Linked DNA regions of Drosophila melanogaster. The gene in region 1 interacts genetically with each later gene. Each region holds a gene or a part of one and is shown in the gene's direction. Other genes may lie near its edges. The genes, in order: nanos, Drice, Dcp-1 and E(z).

Region 1 (5,564 bases):
CGTAGTGAACCCGCATCACCTTCTCCGGATCTCCCTCGACGACCTGACTCTTCTGGTCCCGCACGCACATAATCTGCTGGGCTTGGAACGTGATAATCAGTACCGGGCCCTGCTCCATAACCTTGCCCATTGCCAGTTCAATGTTCTCGATGTCGAGGATCTTGGAGTCCAGGTACACGCCGGCCTTCTTAGCCTCCTTAATGGGATTTGCGATAATATTGAAAGTGCTCTCAAAGCACCAATCCTTCAGAATCTCCAGATCCCCACGGACAATCGATTCCAGAATATTTGGAATGATGTCCGTTTCGCAATCGCGGAGGAAATCCTTCTGATCAAAGCTCGGATCGATTTTCACCAGCTCCGTCATCGTTTCCGAAAGCTCTGTCTTTGAAAAGAGTCCACCCATGACGTCGGACACTTTATCGGTCAGCAGGCGGGAGGCACGAATAACAGGGTTCTCGGACTCGTCGTATTTAACCTTCCAGTCAAGCACCTTGTTCACGTAGGTATTGTTGTTCTTGAAGTTCTCCCACGACTCGTAGAACTTGGAGTCCTTGTGCAGCTCCATACCTGAAAAGTAACATTACATTATGGCCATGACCTTTGATCTTATTGAAGGAAAAAGATGGAGACTCACCAGTGGCTTCCGTGTTGGGCTCCACAACGCGATCACTATCGCTCATGACGAGCTGGACGCGCTTTCGCAACTTGGCAGGAGCACGATAGACACGATTCTCTATGCTCGCGCTGTCCATCTCCTTCTTGATGGTCGTCGTCGTGTTAGAGATAGCCTGGAATGCGCTGGTCTGGCCCAGCTTGCCACTGGTGTCGGAGATCGTGTCGCTGACCCCCCTAGCCTTCTTCGAGAGCTCCTCGGTAACCTTTTTGGCCAGGTGGGATTTGCTGGCGTCCTCCAGAACATCGCCTACGCGCTCCTTGATGGCGCCCAGCTGCTCCTTTAGCATGCTAGACGACTTTTGCGCCTCCGATTCGACAATGTTAAACTTTTGCCGCGCCGATTTCAGGGCATCCGATTCTTCCAGCTTCTGGGCCTCCTCACGGAACTTTCGGATATTGTCCTTGATCTCCTTGTTCTTATCCATCTCCGCCTTCATGTTGTCGAAGAACTGCGAGAAGAAGCCGGCCCTGCGACCTGGCGCACTATAAAAGCGGGGCTGCGGAGTAAAGTCATGACTTAGGCCGGTTGCGCCATGGGGTTTTATGAGCCAAACTCTAACCTGCTGCTGCTGCAGGTTCTGCGAGGCCTGCTGGCACGTGAAGAGACAGGCGCGATCCCGCACAAGGGCAGCTATTCTGTACTGCAAGGAGAAAAAATCATTGAAAGCTTCGACCGTTTTAACCTCGAAATATGCACATGTAAGGACGGATGTGAGCGAACGCCAGTGATGACCGGGATCAGAGGTAACCTACCATGGTGGGGATTAGGTGACCGTTCGCAGGTAGTTTGATCGGAGCGAATGTTCGGGGGGTCTGGCGTCAGAGGCTCTAAACTTTATGTAATTCCTGCCGCGAAACACGCACGTATCAAGCAGTCAGCTGTTCTCTTCGTTCAGCGCGCGCCGGTGTTGCAAAACGAGCGCTCTTCGCCGGCGGTGGCTCGTGCGATAGTTCGTTTTGTCGGTAATCCGATGTTGCCGCGCCGATATCATGTGATGTTGTCACAGTGCGCGAAATTCGAATGGTGGTGTGCAGTGATTGTGTTGTGACGGCGAGTGGCGCGTGTGGGTGCTTAGTTTTGGGAGATGTTTTCGTATTTTTTTGTTGATAACTCAGGCTTTGTTGCTGTGTTGTAGTACTATTTTCCATTGCGCGGTGTCCAGCTTTTAATTAGTGGCACATATTCTTAGCAAGTAAAAATTATTTTGCATACTATTAAATTTCTTATAAATTATTTTCTAAAATTAAGTTTACCTTTTCAATTTTACTAAAAATATCGATATATTTATTATCGCTGGAAAACTACATTATTCCACCTCTAAGCAAGAACCGTTAGTTGGCGCGTAGCTTTACCACAAAATTCCTGGAATTGCCGTACGCTTCGCAGTTGTTTCAAGTTGTCTAAGGGACATACGATTTTTTTTGCCTCTGCGTCACGATTTTAACCCAAAAGCGAGTTTAGTTACATGTACATTATTATTAGATAAAGAAGTATCGCGAATACTTCAGTTGAATAAACTGTGCTTGGTTTTTGGGTGAGGATTTGTGGAAAGTAGAGTGCGCGATAACCGTAACTTTCGACCCGGATTTTCGCCATGTTCCGCAGCAACTTGGAGGGCAGTGGCGCAGCAGCAGTAGGTGTTGCAAATCCCCCCTCGTTGGCTCAGTCTGGAAAGATTTTCCAATTGCAGGATAACTTTTCTGCTTTTCACGCCAGAGGAGGGCTCAACATTCTGGGCCTGCAGGACATGTATTTGGATACCAGTGGGGCCAACTCGTCGGCCACTTTGAGTCCGCCCATTACGCCGGTGACCCCTGACCCGTCGACGTCTGCGCAGTCGACGCACTTCCCTTTTCTGGCCGACAGCGCAGCCACCGCCAATTCGCTCCTTATGCAGCGACAGTACCACTACCACTTGCTGCTCCAGCAGCAGCAGCAACTGGCCATGGCGCAGCACCAATTGGCGCTGGCTGCATCAGCGGCAGCGGCTAGTGCGAGTCACCAGCAAACGGACGAGATTGCGCGATCCTTGAAAATCTTTGCGCAGGTGACGACGGGCGCAGCAGGTAAGAAGAAATGGCGAATATGGCGTCGTTTAAAACAGAATAGCCAAAAACAGTGCGCGGGAGCGAGATGACTATCTGTACAAGTACAGTTATGCCAAAGTCAATGGCCATGGGCTTAGTTAAAGGGGCAACGAAAGCACAGAGCAAAACAGAAGTAAAATTGTGTAAATGTATAATTGCTGCAGAGGTCAGAGGATTTTCGCCATTTAGTGTAGTATATTTTTTATTTTACTATTTTGTATGTGCTTTAAAATATATCTTTGCCCAACACTTGTATCCCCTTCAAGAGGTTTTTCGAGCGCCCCTGAATTTTCGGCCATTGACCTTAGCATTTTCGCTATTCCTTTTTGTTTTAACTTCGGAAAGCCATTTTGCGTCTTACATTTTCTAGAAGTTCTTTGCTTTTTCTCGTCTGTTCTTGTTTTTTTTTTGTATGCAAAAACTAATCCGTATTTGCTTATTACATTTCTGAAATGCAATTGAAACGCGAATAATAAAAAAAATACGTTCAGGACAAGGTAATGAAAAGCTTGCTATTCCCAGAAAATGCGGCTGGCTCGATGCAGGATGTGATGCAGGAGTTCGCGACCAATGGCTATGCCAGCGATGATCTCGGTCGCATGTCCTACGGGAGTGCTCCGCCACAGGTGCAAATGCCACCGCAGCAGCAGCATCAGCAACAGCAGGGGCTGCACCTGCCACTGGGCCGCAATCCTGCCCAGCTGCAGACCAATGGCGGCAACTTAATGCCCATTCCACTCGCCACCCACTGGCTGAACAACTACCGGGAGCATCTGAACAACGTGTGGCGAAACATGTCGTATATACCAGCCGCTCCCAATACAATGGGTTTGCAGGCCCAAACAGCGGCCACTGTGTCCACCAATCTCGGCGTGGGAATGGGTCTGGGATTGCCCGTGCAGGGCGAACAGCTGCGCGGAGCTTCCAATTCCAGTAACAATAATAACAACAACAACAAGGTGTACAAGCGTTACAACAGCAAGGCCAAAGAGGTGAGTGGATCTGATCCAGGATTCGCAGAATTAAAACTTGCAAAATATATTTGTTATCTTGTTTCTCCAACAGATCAGCCGCCACTGCGTCTTTTGTGAGAATAACAACGAACCAGAGGCGGTTATCAATAGCCACTCAGTGCGAGATAACTTTAACCGAGTGCTGTGCCCCAAACTACGCACCTACGTGTGCCCCATCTGCGGGGCATCTGGGGACTCGGCGCACACGATTAAGTACTGCCCCAAGAAGCCGATCATCACCATGGAGGATGCGATCAAGGCGGAATCGTTCCGCCTAGCCAAGAGCAGTTACTACAAGCAACAGATGAAGGTTTAGAGAGGGCGAATCCAGCTCTGGAGCAGAGGCTCTGGCAGCTTTTGCAGCGTTTATATAACATGAAATATATATACGCATTCCGATCAAAGCTGGGTTAACCAGATAGATAGATAGTAACGTTTAAATAGCGCCTGGCGCGTTCGATTTTAAAGAGATTTAGAGCGTTATCCCGTGCCTATAGATCTTATAGTATAGACAACGAACGATCACTCAAATCCAAGTCAATAATTCAAGAATTTATGTCTGTTTCTGTGAAAGGGAAACTAATTTTGTTAAAGAAGACTTACAATATCGTAATACTTGTTCAATCGTCGTGGCCGATAGAAATATCTTACAATCCGAAAGTTGATGAATGGAATTGGTCTGCAACTGGTCGCCTTCATTTCGTAAAATGTTCGCTTGCGGCCGAAAAATTTCGATATATCTACAATTGATCTACAATCTTTACTAAATTTTGAAAAAGGAACACTTTGAATTTCGAACTGTCAATCGTATCATTAGAATTTAATCTAAATTTAAATCTTGCTAAAGGAAATAGCAAGGAACACTTTCGTCGTCGGCTACGCATTCATTGTAAAATTTTAAATTTTGACATTCCGCACTTTTTGATAGATAAGCGAAGAGTATTTTTATTACATGTATCGCAAGTATTCATTTCAACACACATATCTATATATATATATATATATATATATATATATATATATATATATGTTATATATTTATTCAATTTTGTTTACCATTGATCAATTTTTCACACATGAAACAACCGCCAGCATTATATAATTTTTTTATTTTTTTAAAAAATGTGTACACATATTCTGAAAATGAAAAATTCAATGGCTCGAGTGCCAAATAAAGAAATGGTTACAATTTAAGGAAACAAATGTCCTTCTTGCGTTTGAAACAACTAATCCTTTTCGCCCTCGCGGCGTTTCTCGAAAAGGGCCAGGAAGATGCCATCGGTAAGATCACTGTCCGGCTGGCAATACAGGACGTTCTTGCCAATATTGGGATAGTCCTTGTCGCCCACATTGTGCCACTTGTTGCGCAAGGCCTTCTTGCAGCTGAGCAGCTTGAAGGATGGATTTAGCTGAAGACAACGCTGCACCACCTGCTCGTTTTCCTCCTTCCACAGCGAACACGTGCAGTAGGCAATGCGTTTGACGTTCGGAAAGGCGCCCATCGCGTGCGACAGGATCTTAATTTGCAAACCCTGCAGCTTTTGCAGCCGCTTGTCCTCCTTCGGCTCGTCGCACACGGTCATGCGGTTTTGCATTCCGCTGCCAGAGCAACTAGGGTCCACCAGGATGTACTCTACGTCCGGAAAGCGTTCGGGTGCTGAAATTCAAACGTGTTACTTTTTTAAATATTCATTGTGAAATATATAAATATAAAACTCACTTAGGTTCAAGGCGTCTCCCAAAATGGGTTTTACAATATCGCAACCAGCATCCTTTGTTATTTCG
Region 2 (4,219 bases), about 11 Mb from region 1:
CATCGGTGGATAGCGTCAAGATTATGTTGATGCAGTGCCGGCTCTCGCTTTCGCTAAGTGGCTTTGCCATGTTCACAGCCATGAGCATCTCGCAGGCAGCCACAATGGCATCCGCAGTGCTCAGCATGTAGAAGGCGAAGGGATCCTTGCAGAAGTTAGAGAGGATTTTAAGGGCAGAGGCCCGTTGGTCGCCGTCCTCCTTTACGAAGCACACAATGGAGGCGAGCGAGGTATTCCAGGAAATGGACTAACAAGAAATGTTTATTATGTACTACGTTTTGGAGAACTTAGAAAACAGTCTCACCTCCCAAACTTTCAGTCCAATTTGCTGCGCGGATATCAGGACCAGACACTTCAGAATCTCGAGGGCCAGCTCAACGGCCGCTTCATTTTCCTTGGGCAGCGCATAGTCACAGTTCCTTGTGGAATTCTTGAGCATCTGGTGGTCAAAGATGTCACTGCGAACACCCTCCAAATTCCGGGCTACCTCCTCGAAATACTTCTCACGGTGCTGGTTCCTCTTCAGGCCAATCAGCGTGGACATCTCGATGTCCGGAACGGGCTCCTTGGATGCCTCTTCGTTCTTCATCACGGCCAGAAAAATTCGCATCAGCTGCTGGAACCCATTGGCCATGAGGAAGTACTTCAGGAACTGGCTGCTGGCCAGAAGGAAACGGCAGACGCGGAATGCCATGATGCGGGTCTGCACCGCACTGGTGGACTCAATGATGTGGCAGATGGCCGGTGCAATGGCCGCATAGTGCACTGTGAGACACTGGGACGCCTTCTTGCTCTTGGCGATGTTTCCAAGCATCCGGCAGGCGCGGCACTGGATCAGGGGATTAGGTATGGTCTTCAGAATGGTCACCAGCGGGTGAATCACCTTGCATTCAACAGCCTTAAAGTGGAAAGTTTTAAATTTTTTTAACCGTTGTGGTTCAAAATAAAGATAAAAATGTAATCTGATAATCCCACCTCAATGCAGGACTGTTCGTCGGTGCAGCAGTTCCCCAGTATGCTCAGTACCACCTCCATTATCTTTTCATTCAGCTTGGTGATCAGTCGCACCTGGAAGACGCAATTAATAATGATTTAAAAATCGATTCGAATAACGATCCTATGTGAGCGGCAGTGGCTGTCAAACCACCATGAGCGTTGTGACTCCCAAACCCACCATGATGTGAACGCCCCCAGCAGTGCGAAATAAAACAATGCCATTTTTATCCTTCACCAGATCGGTGCGCAGCTTCACCAGGCATTTGTAAATGACTGTTCGATCCGTGGAGGTCTTTAGCACTTCCAGCATGCTCTCCACTTGCTCTGGTGTCCAGAACATTGGTAATTTTCTTAATTTTTAAACAAATTGAAACAATTCAACAAATTCTACAGTGCGTCTCAAACCTCTTTGAGAGTGTGACCGTGCATAAGAGCGTATTTTACGGTATTTTACGTTATTTTTCGAAAATCCAGCAGCGGTCTGCCTTATTTATAAACTGATGTTTACGTTTTAGCTTTGGATGCGAATTCGATTCTACAATAATAAATGGAAGCAGGCCTGTTTTTTATGTAGATTATACAAGTTCCCACAAAATTACCTCCAAGCTTTTAATTTCAAATTATTTTAATATTTTTTAAAACCCATTTAATAATTTTTCCTATATTTATTTACTTTCTTTGTTTACCGTAATCGTGACACGAGGGCTGAAGTGTCATCACCAAATCAGGCGCTATTTGGTGTTTTTCAACTGCCAACAACGGTCTTACAGAATTAAAGACAAAAACGCAATCGACTAAAGTAATTAGTTAATAACTAGCTGTCTTTGTTGCGCGTAAACACGGACTTTCCCCAGAACGAAGCTAATTTGCCCAAGTCGTGCATCCAAGCTTTTCACAGATTTGGAAAAACCTGTTTCGCAGTGCTTGTGACTCATCAGTTTTCGCAGGCTCAAGGAGAGAACTTAGCCATGGACGCCACTAACAATGGAGAATCCGCCGACCAGGTGGGCATCAGGGTGGGCAATCCGGAGCAGCCCAACGATCACACAGATGCCCTGGGCTCCGTGGGATCCGGAGGAGCGGGTAGCAGCGGCCTGGTCGCAGGATCCTCGCATCCTTACGGCAGCGGAGCCATTGGGCAGCTGGCCAACGGGTACAGCTCACCCTCGTCCAGCTACCGTAAGAATGTAGCCAAAATGGTCACCGACCGCCATGCAGCCGAGTACAACATGCGCCACAAGAACCGCGGAATGGCACTGATCTTCAACCATGAGCACTTCGAGGTGCCCACCTTGAAGTCTCGCGCGGGAACCAATGTGGACTGCGAGAATCTGACTCGGGTGCTCAAGCAGCTGGACTTCGAAGTGACCGTGTACAAGGACTGCCGCTACAAGGACATTTTGAGGACAATCGAGTATGCAGCGTCGCAGAATCACAGCGATAGTGATTGCATCCTGGTCGCCATCCTGTCGCACGGCGAGATGGGCTACATCTACGCCAAGGACACACAGTACAAGCTGGATAACATCTGGAGCTTCTTCACGGCCAATCACTGCCCCTCGCTAGCCGGCAAACCCAAGTTGTTCTTCATACAGGCCTGCCAGGGCGACAGATTGGATGGCGGAGTGACCATGCAGCGTTCTCAGACGGAAACCGATGGCGACTCCTCGATGAGCTACAAGATTCCAGTGCACGCCGACTTTCTGATCGCCTACTCGACGGTTCCTGGATTCTATTCGTGGCGCAACACCACCCGCGGCAGCTGGTTCATGCAGAGCCTGTGCGCCGAACTGGCGGCCAATGGCAAGCGGCTGGACATCCTGACCCTGCTCACATTCGTGTGCCAGCGGGTGGCCGTGGACTTTGAGTCCTGCACCCCGGACACTCCGGAGATGCACCAGCAGAAGCAGATACCCTGCATAACCACCATGCTGACGCGCATTCTGCGTTTCAGCGACAAGCAGTTGGCACCAGCCGGACGGGTTTGATGGCTAATGGTATGGATCAAACGGTGGGTACGGCGAGGTGTGTGATAAACCAAGTCGCAATTAAGTTAGAACCTCATGGGCTATCGGCCTTGCAGCATATTTTTTATACAACACTTTTTTAACCTGCCCAATTGCTCGACGAGATTGGTGCCACTGCCCGTTTTATTTTATTTAGGCACAAAGTATCTTTCGATTGACATTTATTAATGTCGCATTTACTCGTCTGTATTTATATTTTTTGGGGTGGGTAGAGTAGATCGATTTAACTTAGAAATCTAAGAGGTTTTTACTCCGGCCAAAATTTTTTGACAATTTTAACTTGCCAACTGAACAAAGACGATCTCAAAATTTTAAATTCTCTACTAAACCTTATCATAGAACAACTTGCGCCTCTTTGATTCTCGATCAGGAATGTCGGCCCACCCTTATCTATATCTACCTTAGACCATTTACAGACAAGACCTTTTTACAATTTTATACACATAGATATCTTTATAGTATAAGCCTGTGTGTCATGGTCGTCCAAAACGAAAACAAACGATTTTAGCCTGTAGTCGAGTGTTTTATGAACAATATATACTATTTCTATGCCATTTGTACTCTTATATAATGCACATTAGCAAATGTTCTCCTTTCAAGTTAACCGCTAATAAATCCGATTGAAAACAATGAGAAATCAATGACCATTGGCTGTTTGCTGTTGACCCTGTCGCCTCTTTTGGGCGCCAAGTTGAGCGGCATTTCCCGAAAAGGTAGCACGCGGAGACGGAAAAATAGACGAGTCCAGCCATTGGCTGACCCTGATCGTACGATTTCAGAGCTTACAATCACTTTATTCTTAGAGCTGGACACAACGAGAATAAATTCCAATTTATAGTTCACTTAAAGCACACGGGTATGGGTTGAATTCAGAGAAATTTAAAGCCTGTCAGCAAATCCGACTCTCCGGCTAGATAAATGCACGTTTCTGATAACTTTCGACTAATTAAAAACGTAGAATATGCGCTCACAATTTTCTAGTTGAGGAACATCTAGATGTGGCCGCCCTCCTTTAGCTTGGCCACCAGGGCATCCACGTCGGCGACGGTGGCGCCGGCCTGGCGCACAGGAGGATCCTCCACGGAGATGACCTCGATGCGGGGCGAGGTGTCCACGCCGAGATCCTTGGCCGTAACCTTCTTCAGCGGCTTCTTCTTGGCCTTCATGATGTTCGGCAACGTGGCGTAGCGAGGGGT
Region 3 (4,755 bases), on another chromosome or scaffold:
AAGTATTCCGTCACGAATTCTTCCTGCTTCACATTGTCCATGTCTTCAAAATCGTCAAGATGTTCCTCCTTCTCATCGACGCCGCCTTCTCCTTCGCCGTCGTCTTCGAACTCGTTCTGGTACGGCTCCATTTCCACCACATGATCGTCCTCGATGTGGCGCTGCAGGCATTTCTGCGTCAAGAAGATGTGGTCACAGAACTCGCAGGCATGGCGCTCGCTCTGCTTGTGCTGGTCCATGTGGCTCTCGACACTGTCGATATCTTCGATCTGCTTGCGACACATGGGACATTTCAGGCTGGCGGTGGCATGAATGAGCGCATGATCCAGTAGGTCGTTATAGTTGCTGTACGACACCTTGCACTCACTGCACACGAACGAGGCGTCGGAAGTCTGCGTGTGCGTGCGCAGGTGGCGCGAGAGATGATGCGACAGCATGTAGGACTTGTGGCAGTACTTGCAGGGATAGGCTCTCTTCCCGGCGTGGGCAACCAGGTGGCGGGCCAGCTTGGAAGCGGTGGAAAAGCTTCTCTCGCAATGCTGACAGGGGAAGGGAAGATTGGTGGAGTGGACTGTCTGAAAGTGGACATAATCGTTAGCCGGGGCAATCCCAAATATGCTTGTCAACCCACCTCATGACGCTCCAATCCCTGCTTGAAGGCAAACGACTTGGTGCAGACACCGCATTGGAACGGACGCTTCTTCTGATGTCGCTCGGCGTGCTTCTCCATCTCCTGGCGCGAAAGGAAGGGCTTCTCGCAGTACACGCAGATGAACTTGGGTACGTCCGTGTGGGTGCGCTCGTGGCGATGGAGCAATGCCTTCCGTGTGAAGGCTTTCGAGCAGATGGCGCACTTGAATGGCCGCTCGCCGGTGTGCACAAAGTTGTGCTTGGCCAGGTCGTACTTGGAGAAGAAGCTCTTCTCGCACAGGAGACACTGGAAGCTGCGCGAGCGAGTGTGATTCAGCCGATGGATCTCGAGCAGCTGCTGCAGCGGAAAGGAGCGTTCGCAATCGGGACAGGGGAACACATCGGTGGCCACCTTCTCGGCGTTCTTGGTCGGATCATCTTGATCGTCCAATGGCAGATCCGAGTCCAGAACCTCTGTCACTATGGCCACATTGCCACTATCATCTCGCTTGACTTTGGGTGTGGCCAGGCGCGGTTCCACCGGAGCGGCGGGTCCCTTGTTCAAGATCCTAATCGAGGACTTGTTCAGCACCTTCGGCTTGACGGGTGATGCCTTCTGGGGGATATCGGGGAACTCCTTCTCTAGCTCACTGGCCATATCCTCCAGCATGCTCTGCACATCGTCCATGGACAGCTCCTGGTTGTTATCCACCTTCAGCTCATAGGCGTGCGAACGACGTGGCACTGGAGAGGAACCGGCTACCGTCCTGGGGGTCACCATGGCGCTCTCCAGCACCTGGACGTCCTCGATGATCACCTGACTACTGGATTTGGCCATTGTGTTCAGCAGCTTTTTGGGCGTTTCGCTTGGCTCGGCTGTCTTTGCTGGCACGACCAACAACTTCTTGGAAGCCACCATCGTCATGGGCGCACGGGGCTTCTCCAGCGGCGATGGCCAGTTACCCGTGAGCGGATACTGGCGCAGGAGGGTCTCCGCCCGCTTGCACATCTGCTTGAAGCGGTAGCAGTGCTCGAAGAGGAGGCGGCACTCCAGACAGATGTGCCCCGGCATTCCGTCGCCGGCGTAGACCTGTTTTTAATGTTAGATTAGATAAATGTGTGAGTGACTAGGAAGCTACATTTATTCGGGGAAGTCCGTGCTTAAGCCAAATAATAAGGTAATATTCGTGGAACACCCCTATATGTTTTTCGCTACATAATAAATTAAACGCCATAAATGTCTCTTTCCCTTAAAATGAACAATATAATGTTAGAGTTTAAATTTAAACAAAGGCGCCGAGGACCAGAACACCCTCTACAAATTAATCGATGGCCACCAATCGATGATTAGTGCTATCGACGAGCGGCCATCGCCGCTTGGCGGCAAGTGCATACACACGACTACATGCAATCGCAGTTTGTTTTCGCCGCTCAGAGCACGCTTAACCTCCGTTAATTGATTGATTAAACACGTCCGACTGTGAGCCATAAAAGGACATTCGCTCGATCGAAAGCCGACAAAAGCTGGCTGAGAAGCGCAAAACAGCTGCGCTGCGCAAAGTTTGGCCAACGCAGAGCAATAGAAAACAGAAGCAGTGTCAGAATAAAACAAGAATCAGACCAAAAAGGGCGCAACAACTGCGGAGAGAGAAAAGGAAGGAAAGAGCAGCGCGTGAGCGAGGGAGGAGCAGGAGGGAGCGAACAAAAGGCAAGAGGAAACACAAGGAGAAACGCAAACAATCAAAACAAGAACTTAAGCAAGAAAAGGGGCGCAAGATGACCGACGAGTGCGTAACCAGAAACTACGGAGTAGGCATTCGCAGCCCAAATGGATCGGAAAATCGGGGCAGCTTTATAATGGCTGATAATACCGATGCCAAGGGCTGTACGCCGGAGTCTCTTGTTGTTGGTGGTGCAACTGCAGCGAGGTGAGTCCATGTGCCTCGCTCTCTCCCTCTCCCATCTCTCTCTTTATGTTTCTGTGTTTTGTTATCAATGCAAGTACTGGCATAACTGCTATATCCTAGTTTCAAATGCAGCATATAAAGCTCTTTTTTTTTTATTTATTCCATTTTCATTCCACAATCTATTATTTTTATATTATTTATACTGTCTATTGCCAACATTTAAAATCAATGTGTCAATCTGTCTTTATAATGTTGTTAAAATGGCTGAAGTCACAAAGTTTGAAAGCACTTGACTTTAATTCTATTGTTCTATTTAGTCTTATTCACAAATATATTTGAAAATAATTACATAAATAAATACCCAATCATCGATTATTTCGCCGATTACCTTATCTTATCATGCTGCTTCCCAAATGGCTATTATAATTCTGATTTCTTTTTCCCCAGCCCCTTGCCGGCCAACAAGTTTGTGGCTCGAATGCCCGTGGAACGATATGCAAGCGAATACAACATGAGTCACAAGCACCGCGGAGTTGCGCTGATCTTCAACCACGAATTCTTCGACATACCCTCGCTGAAGAGCCGCACCGGAACAAATGTCGATGCCCAAGAGCTGAAAAAGGCCTTTGAAAACCTGGGATTCGCGGTGTCCGTGCACAAGGACTGCAAGTTGAGGGACATCCTGAAGCACGTGGGGAAGGCCGCCGAGTTGGACCACACGGACAACGACTGCCTTGCGGTGGCCATACTCTCGCACGGGGAGCACGGCTACCTGTACGCCAAGGATACGCAGTACAAGCTGGACAACATCTGGCACTACTTCACTGCCACCTTCTGCCCCTCGCTGGCGGGCAAGCCGAAGCTGTTCTTCATCCAAGCCTGCCAGGGCGATCGCTTGGACGGAGGCATCACTCTGGAGAAGGGCGTTACCGAGACGGACGGGGAGTCCTCGACGAGCTACAAGATACCCATACACGCCGACTTTCTCTTCTCCTACTCGACCATTCCGGGTAAGGAATATGATTAGGTAACTATTTTAGTGAATTTCACTAGCAATCTCGTCCTGTTAGGCTACTTCTCCTGGCGCAACATCAACAATGGCTCCTGGTACATGCAATCGCTGATCCGCGAGCTGAACGCCAATGGCAAAAAGTACGACCTGCTCACCCTGCTTACATTCGTTAACCAGCGCGTAGCCCTAGACTTTGAGTCGAACGTGCCCGCCACACCGATGATGGATCGCCAGAAGCAAATACCGTGCCTCACCTCCATGCTGACGCGCATACTGCGCTTCGGCGACAAGCCGAACGGCAATAAGGCTGGCTAGGAAGAGATCTCCCTTCGAAGAAGAACTTTCAACAGAGGTTGTACAACCATCGCCCGCAATCATTCACGTTGGATTCCAATTCACTTCAAGTTTAGTTTTAGCTGACGCGTGCGATTATCCCGATGGATATTGAAGCACCCGACTCCCTTTCATTCATTCCCCTGCCTTTCCCATGCCCATTTCGGCCTTATCATTGACGAAATTCGTTACCCATTTACCCACTAGATGACTTCCGTATGCATAAGCGAGACCTTGCCAATAGAAAACCCACAAATTTGAGATAAGATAATACAATGAAGATTTATACATACATACATACTTTTATGTACACGCAAACATTTATATTTGATATGAATAAAAATGAATTAAAAACATAGCAAGGTATCTCCCCAATTGAACGTAGATGGGTAATTTCGATCTAAGCAACTTTGTTTGAAGACAGGAGCTGTCTGGGCCAGATTGAGTACGTTGATATGGGAAATAAAAGATAACAATGAAGACTTGGTTGGCTGAATCAGTGAAATTGTACGAAACTTTAGTGGAATTCAAATTAGCATTATTAAGAGTGATTAATTAAGATTTTTCTCACTCTAATTTTATTAATTTCCTAAATTTTATATTTATTTCCTAATTTTATAATTTAGGAAATTAATAAAATTAACCAAATGATGATTTTTGCGTAAATATAAGTATCGAAGGAACTATTAATGCATTTAAATATGATCTCGATTTGAATTTAGCGCCAAAAACAACTGACAGCTGTCAGGGCGATCAGCTGTTGACGCACTAGTGTGCGTGTGGCGCAGTACAGTTGCCCCAAATCGCAGAAATTTTCATTTTTCTTTGCACAAGAGGAAAAAGGGAAAGCCCAATGATTAGCCAACTAATTGG
Region 4 (5,879 bases), on another chromosome or scaffold:
ACCATGGGGGCCTCGTTGTTCAGTTGGGGAAGGGCTAGAATGTATGGGAAGCAGTTAAGTAGAGCTGTTGTCGAGCGTAACCCATTGCAATCCTTGCCAGAGGCCATGAAGAAGGCGAGGCCCAGGATGAGAGTGCACACGAGTAGGAACTTCATGGTAAAGCTGGTTTGTTGTACAGATGGCTTGCTTGCTTCTGATGCCTTGGAACTGCACAGACTCCCTATTTATACAGAATGCGGCTCGATAAAAACCGCTCCAAATATACAAAAACACTTGTCGTTGCACAATTTGCGAGCAACTCGTTAGTTATAGATGAATTGATATTGAAATGTCGCTTGGTGTATTTGGCAGCGATGGGTAACGCCATTAACGAAACACATAAAGCTTAACAATTGATTTCTTTTCTTTTTGTTTTTTTGTACAAAGGAGCTTCTATAATTAAACAAAATGTGTAGGGGAGAAATAAGAGGTACTTTAAAAATACGCTTACAAAGCGAGGGTGTCCGAATCAACATGTAGGAAAAAAGAAAAGGGTAAGGGAACTAGCAATTAACTAAATAAACGTCCTGGAAGCTGGCCGGTGCTCATGTACTGTTGTTGTTACTTTGCCGCGGCTTGAGTATCAGCTTCCCCGTGTCGTCACAGCTCATATTAAAGTCTCCCAGTACCATTCGCGTTCTCGATGTAATTATTTGCGGAGCTATGACTAGTTTCTGTATGCCCAGGATGAACAGGACGACTGCGGAGAGAAATGATAAGGTTTACAAAATCAGTAAGTCAGTTTCAAACCAAAAAAATTAGATTAGATTAAATGGAAGTGTTTGTTAGCTGAAAATTCTTAATCAGTTGGACTATCAATATTGATATATACAAATCGAATTTGATAAAGCGAAGAGCTTTGACAAGATTAAAGGCAACCTAATGTTGCTAAAATTTGGAGAATGTACTTATGTAGTTTGCATAGATGTGATAGATATAAGGAGTGTATTCTACTCAAAATAACAGTAGAAATACCTAAAAATTTGAAATTCTTGATTTTGATCCTTTCTTTTTACCGAGTAGCCTGAGATAACCTGATATATAGTATCGACTTGCTCTACGATATGATTATATGGATTTAAATAGCATGGTATGGCTTGGTATTAAAATTATTCTCCATACTAGGTAGAATATCCGAGGTTCAATGACCGCCGCTGTTGACTACAAAAAGTGACCTATGTACGGAGTACAGTAGTGGCTACACCGATTCTTACCCAATGTTAGGGTGGCGACTGTGAAGACGGGATGAATCCAGAGGGACTCCGTTAGCGGTACAACGGTGGTGCGCGGATCGCGTAGCCAGTACCAGGCGCTGATGGCGGTGCACATGGACATGGCGGAAAGGACAACTGCAAGAAGCTCTATGGTTATTACGGATTGTAATGCTCCCTGGTGTTCTCATTATACGGATGCAACTTACTGCGCCAGCGGAACGTCGAGGGACGGTACGATGAAACCACTTCGGTGAGGCGCCGCTCGAAGGCCTTGAGATCTGCAGAGGAGCGAGGAAAACAAACCCAGTTATGGTTGGTAAACATAGTCAGTGGCTTGCGCGTTTTCCGGCTCTCTTTTGCCGGCGAGTTACATACCTTCGCAGGCTGACGGTTCCATTGCAGCTATTTCCTCAAAGCTCGTGGCCGTCTTAATGCGATTAAATTTGTCCAGTTTAAATATTATTGTATTTATTATTATTATTTGATGAGGTTCTCATAGCTTTCTTTTCCTCTTTTTATGTTTTTGATGACATTCCACGTTTGAGAGCACTGATAACGGGCTGCGTTTCTCAACACTACACAAAGCAGGGTCGTACCAAAGAGGGGCTCTTTGTTTATTTCCTACTTTCAGTACAAAATGGTTGTATAGCTAATTTAAAGTGAGTATTATATTTATGTATTATTTATATTATATTTATATTATTTTAATACAAAAATATCATAGTTTTTATTATAATATAAATATAATTAATGGCTTACCGGACAAATTAAGTACCCACTAAATGGTCTTCTACATACACCCATGTGTCTAAGTTATTCTTCCTGCAGTACAACGGTCACACTGCGGCAGCTGTTGCAAAAAAAGGCGGATAATATTTGTAGCAAAATCAGTGTTTTTTATACGTAAAATCAACAAATATAAAGTCCCTCGAAGGCATTATGAATAGCACTAAAGTGCCGCCCGAGTGGAAGAGGCGTGTCAAGTCGGAGTACATCAAAATCAGGCAGCAGAAGCGCTACAAACGTGCCGACGAGATCAAGGAGGCGTGGATAAGAAACTGGTAAGCGCGGGAGAGATGGTGGATGTCTGGGAATCGAAAATCTATGTACACATATCCTCCAGGGACGAGCACAACCACAATGTACAGGATCTGTACTGCGAGTCGAAGGTTTGGCAGGCTAAACCCTACGATCCGCCGCATGTGGACTGTGTGAAGCGGGCGGAGGTGACTAGCTACAATGGCATTCCCAGCGGTCCGCAAAAGGTGCCCATTTGCGTGATCAACGCGGTCACTCCCATACCCACCATGTACACGTGGGCACCAACACAGCAGAACTTCATGGTGGAGGATGAGACGGTGCTGCACAATATACCCTATATGGGCGACGAGGTCCTCGATAAGGATGGCAAGTTCATAGAGGAACTGATCAAAAACTACGATGGCAAGGTTCACGGCGACAAGGATCCCTCGTTCATGGACGATGCCATCTTCGTAGAACTGGTGCACGCCCTTATGCGCTCCTACAGCAAGGAACTGGAGGAAGCCGCTCCGGGTACAGCGACTGCCATTAAAACAGAGACGTTGGCGAAATCAAAACAGGGCGAAGATGATGGGGTAGTTGATGTTGACGCAGATGGTGAATCTCCCATGAAGCTTGAGAAAACCGACAGCAAAGGGGATCTGACTGAAGTTGAGAAGAAGGAAACTGAAGAACCGCTGGAGACTGAAGATGCGGATGTTAAGCCCGATGTGGAAGAAGTCAAGGACAAGCTGCCCTTCCCTGCGCCCATTATTTTTCAGGCCATCAGCGCTAACTTTCCAGACAAGGGCACCGCGCAAGAGCTCAAAGAAAAGTATGTAATTTGATAACCAGGTTAGTAAATATCCCTTCTTACGGCTTTTTCTTTTTGCTAGGTACATTGAGCTTACGGAGCACCAGGATCCGGAGCGCCCACAGGAGTGCACACCCAACATTGACGGCATCAAGGCCGAGAGCGTTTCCCGGGAAAGGACTATGCACTCCTTTCACACGCTCTTCTGTCGTCGTTGCTTCAAATACGACTGCTTCCTGCACCGTAAGTTAAACGATGGGAACTGCTGCCAGCTGGGTTACCTAATGACTTTACGTTTTGTTTTTGCTTTTCTTTTCTTGTTTGGAAACAATATTATCTTACCAAAAAACACAAATCTGTACCATTTCTTAAACCCCCAAAAAAAAAAACGAAATTCCAAAATGTATTGAATTAATTGCAATTTAGGTCACCATGTGCAGGGTGAGTCGTTGTTGTAGTTGTTGTTTCGATAACCACACGCACACACTCTCATGCCGTTTGCCCGTCAACGCCTCCGCATCCTCATCTCGCTGTCTATGAATATAATTTTTATAATAACCCATATCGGTGGATAATTTGGCTATGTTTGTCATGTGTCTAAATTGACCCCTCGGTGTTGCTCACCTCATTTTCGTGTGGCTTTGGCTGGACCATTTCTCTCTATCTCTTCAAATGTAACCGATTACCCTCATGCTAATCCAAAAGCGTTTCATAGACATCAAGTGATTTTCGCCCGATTGAGTTATTCTAATCCCGCTGCTCTGTGTTCACAGGCTTGCAAGGACATGCGGGTCCCAATCTCCAGAAGCGTCGCTATCCGGAACTGAAGCCTTTCGCCGAACCTTGCAGCAACTCCTGCTACATGTTGATCGTAAGTTGGATGCACTTTATAAATTTAAATGGTATTTTAATTCTGTTATATGCTGCAGGATGGCATGAAGGAAAAGCTGGCGGCCGATAGCAAGACACCTCCCATTGATTCCTGCAATGAGGCCAGCTCCGAGGACAGTAATGACAGCAACAGTCAGTTTAGCAACAAGGACTTTAATCATGAGAATAGCAAGGATAATGGCCTGACTGTAAATAGCGCCGCTGTGGCTGAGATCAACTCCATTATGGGTCAGTTTTAAGTTAGCAGATTGGTTGGACCATGTGTTAAATATTTCACTTTTTCTCACCAGCTGGCATGATGAACATCACCAGTACGCAGTGCGTTTGGACAGGCGCTGACCAAGCACTTTATCGGGTCTTGCATAAAGTGTATTTAAAGAACTACTGCGCGATTGCGCACAACATGCTGACCAAGACCTGTCGTCAGGTGTACGAGTTTGCCCAGAAGGAGGATGCTGAGTTTAGCTTCGAGGATTTGCGACAGGACTTCACACCTCCGCGCAAGAAGAAGAAGAAGCAACGTCTGTGGTCGCTGCACTGTCGTAAGATTCAGCTAAAGAAGGACTCATCCTCGAATCACGTGTACAACTACACGCCCTGCGACCATCCCGGACATCCATGCGACATGAACTGCTCCTGCATTCAGACACAAAACTTCTGCGAAAAGTTCTGCAACTGCAGCAGCGATTGCCAGAATCGTTTCCCCGGCTGTCGCTGCAAGGCTCAGTGCAATACGAAGCAGTGTCCTTGCTATCTGGCAGTGCGCGAGTGTGATCCCGATCTGTGCCAGGCCTGCGGAGCGGATCAGTTTAAGCTGACCAAGATCACGTGCAAGAACGTGTGCGTGCAGCGAGGACTGCGTAAGAAACCTTCTTATATATCCATATTGGTCTTCGCCACTGTCAACTAATTTAATCTTCAATTGCAGACAAGCACCTGCTCATGGCTCCGTCTGACATCGCCGGCTGGGGCATCTTTCTTAAGGAGGGTGCGCAAAAGAATGAGTTCATTTCGGAATATTGTGGCGAGATCATATCCCAAGATGAAGCCGATCGCCGTGGCAAGGTTTACGACAAGTACATGTGCTCATTTCTTTTCAATCTGAACAACGATTTTGTTGTGGATGCCACTCGGAAGGGCAACAAGATTCGGTTTGCCAATCATTCCATTAATCCCAATTGCTATGCCAAGGTTATGATGGTCACCGGCGATCATCGCATCGGCATCTTTGCCAAGCGGGCCATTCAGCCCGGCGAAGAGCTATTCTTTGACTACAGATACGGACCCACGGAGCAGCTGAAGTTCGTGGGCATAGAGCGTGAAATGGAAATTGTTTGATAACGAGTCTACTTATGAAAATCGTATCATACAAATTGAATAAAACTATATTTTTGAAAACACACCTAAACGGATTTAGCTACATTGGCTATAATTGGTTTGGGTCGCGATTTGAAGATTAATTTTTTGGTGCAAACGGCGCGCACAGTGTACTCCGTTCTTTGGCGACTCTTGTGCTCCTGGGCGATCGTATGATCCAGCACTGTGCGCTCCGCTCCCGTGGTGGCGTTCAGCATACTGACATCCTGCGAGGCCATGCTCGTTTCTAGGAGTCGTTCTCCCTCATTGGTCTTGGACTTTTCCAGCACCGCAAATGGTTTATCCAACTTTTGTTCACGTCCCTGAAGAATGTGATGTCCAATGATGAGAATCTTATGATATAAGTAAAATCAGATTGTTTAAGAGCTGGTTAAATTATAACTTTACAATTACAACTCACAGGTTGGCCATATTTATTGTAGTAGAGATCGCCAATAAACTGGCCGTGCATATCCTGGTTGCTCCGCACCTCCAGGTCGCCTTGCAGCTCTATAATGGCCCAATCGCCTTTGCCAGCGTTTTGT

Evidence for each region.
Region 2: of nanos (region 1) and Drice, changing one suppresses a phenotype caused by changing the other (phenotypic suppression), as found in Drosophila melanogaster (one study listed by BioGRID).
Region 3: of nanos (region 1) and Dcp-1, changing one suppresses a phenotype caused by changing the other (phenotypic suppression), as found in Drosophila melanogaster (one study listed by BioGRID).
Region 4: of nanos (region 1) and E(z), changing one suppresses a phenotype caused by changing the other (phenotypic suppression), as found in Drosophila melanogaster (one study listed by BioGRID).

What each region holds. Positions count from the first base shown.
Region 1 is NT_033777.3:19,155,228-19,160,791, forward strand, and holds nanos (nanos), read left to right. Parts: upstream 1-2,010; 5' UTR 2,011-2,273; coding exon 2,274-2,745; intron 2,746-3,288; coding exon 3,289-3,758; intron 3,759-3,831; coding exon 3,832-4,095; 3' UTR 4,096-4,382; coding exon of another isoform or gene 4,383-4,478; 3' UTR 4,479-4,975; downstream 4,976-5,564. Other genes in the region: CG11779 (uncharacterized protein), read right to left, coding at 1-570, 638-1,175, 1,239-1,319, 4,383-4,478; Nsun5 (Nop2/Sun-like domain containing protein 5), read right to left, coding at 5,006-5,436, 5,500-5,564. UniProt on the Drosophila melanogaster protein: Maternal RNA-binding protein that is required for germ cells proliferation and self-renewal. Acts by forming a complex with pum and brat that regulates translation and mRNA stability.
Region 2 is NT_033777.3:29,797,934-29,802,152, forward strand, and holds Drice (death related ICE-like caspase), read left to right. Parts: upstream 1-1,724; 5' UTR 1,725-1,964; coding exon 1,965-2,984; 3' UTR 2,985-3,651; downstream 3,652-4,219. Other genes in the region: Rnb (R and B), read right to left, coding at 1-247, 305-898, 976-1,068, 1,175-1,336; Etfb (electron transfer flavoprotein beta subunit), read right to left, coding at 4,016-4,219.
Region 3 is NT_033778.4:23,549,317-23,554,071, forward strand, and holds Dcp-1 (death caspase-1), read left to right. Parts: upstream 1-1,996; 5' UTR 1,997-2,406; coding exon 2,407-2,558; intron 2,559-2,984; coding exon 2,985-3,547; intron 3,548-3,607; coding exon 3,608-3,864; 3' UTR 3,865-4,231; downstream 4,232-4,755. Other genes in the region: pita, read right to left, coding at 1-575, 632-1,720. UniProt on the Drosophila melanogaster protein: Involved in the activation cascade of caspases responsible for apoptosis execution. Proteolytically cleaves poly(ADP-ribose) polymerase (PARP). Loss of zygotic DCP-1 function causes larval lethality and melanotic tumors.
Region 4 is NT_037436.4:10,634,075-10,639,953, reverse strand, and holds E(z) (enhancer of zeste), read left to right. Parts: upstream 1-2,074; 5' UTR 2,075-2,192; coding exon 2,193-2,314; intron 2,315-2,376; coding exon 2,377-3,108; intron 3,109-3,169; coding exon 3,170-3,330; intron 3,331-3,513; coding exon 3,514-3,528; intron 3,529-3,860; coding exon 3,861-3,958; intron 3,959-4,016; coding exon 4,017-4,206; intron 4,207-4,268; coding exon 4,269-4,838; intron 4,839-4,906; coding exon 4,907-5,316; 3' UTR 5,317-5,379; downstream 5,380-5,879. Other genes in the region: CG18628 (uncharacterized protein), read right to left, coding at 1-34, 98-155; Cnep1r2 (CTD nuclear envelope phosphatase 1 regulatory subunit 2), read right to left, coding at 585-739, 1,254-1,400, 1,460-1,531, 1,629-1,650; CG34001 (uncharacterized protein), read right to left, coding at 5,382-5,687, 5,756-5,879. UniProt on the Drosophila melanogaster protein: Polycomb group (PcG) protein. Catalytic subunit of the Esc/E(z) complex, which methylates 'Lys-9' and 'Lys-27' of histone H3, leading to transcriptional repression of the affected target gene.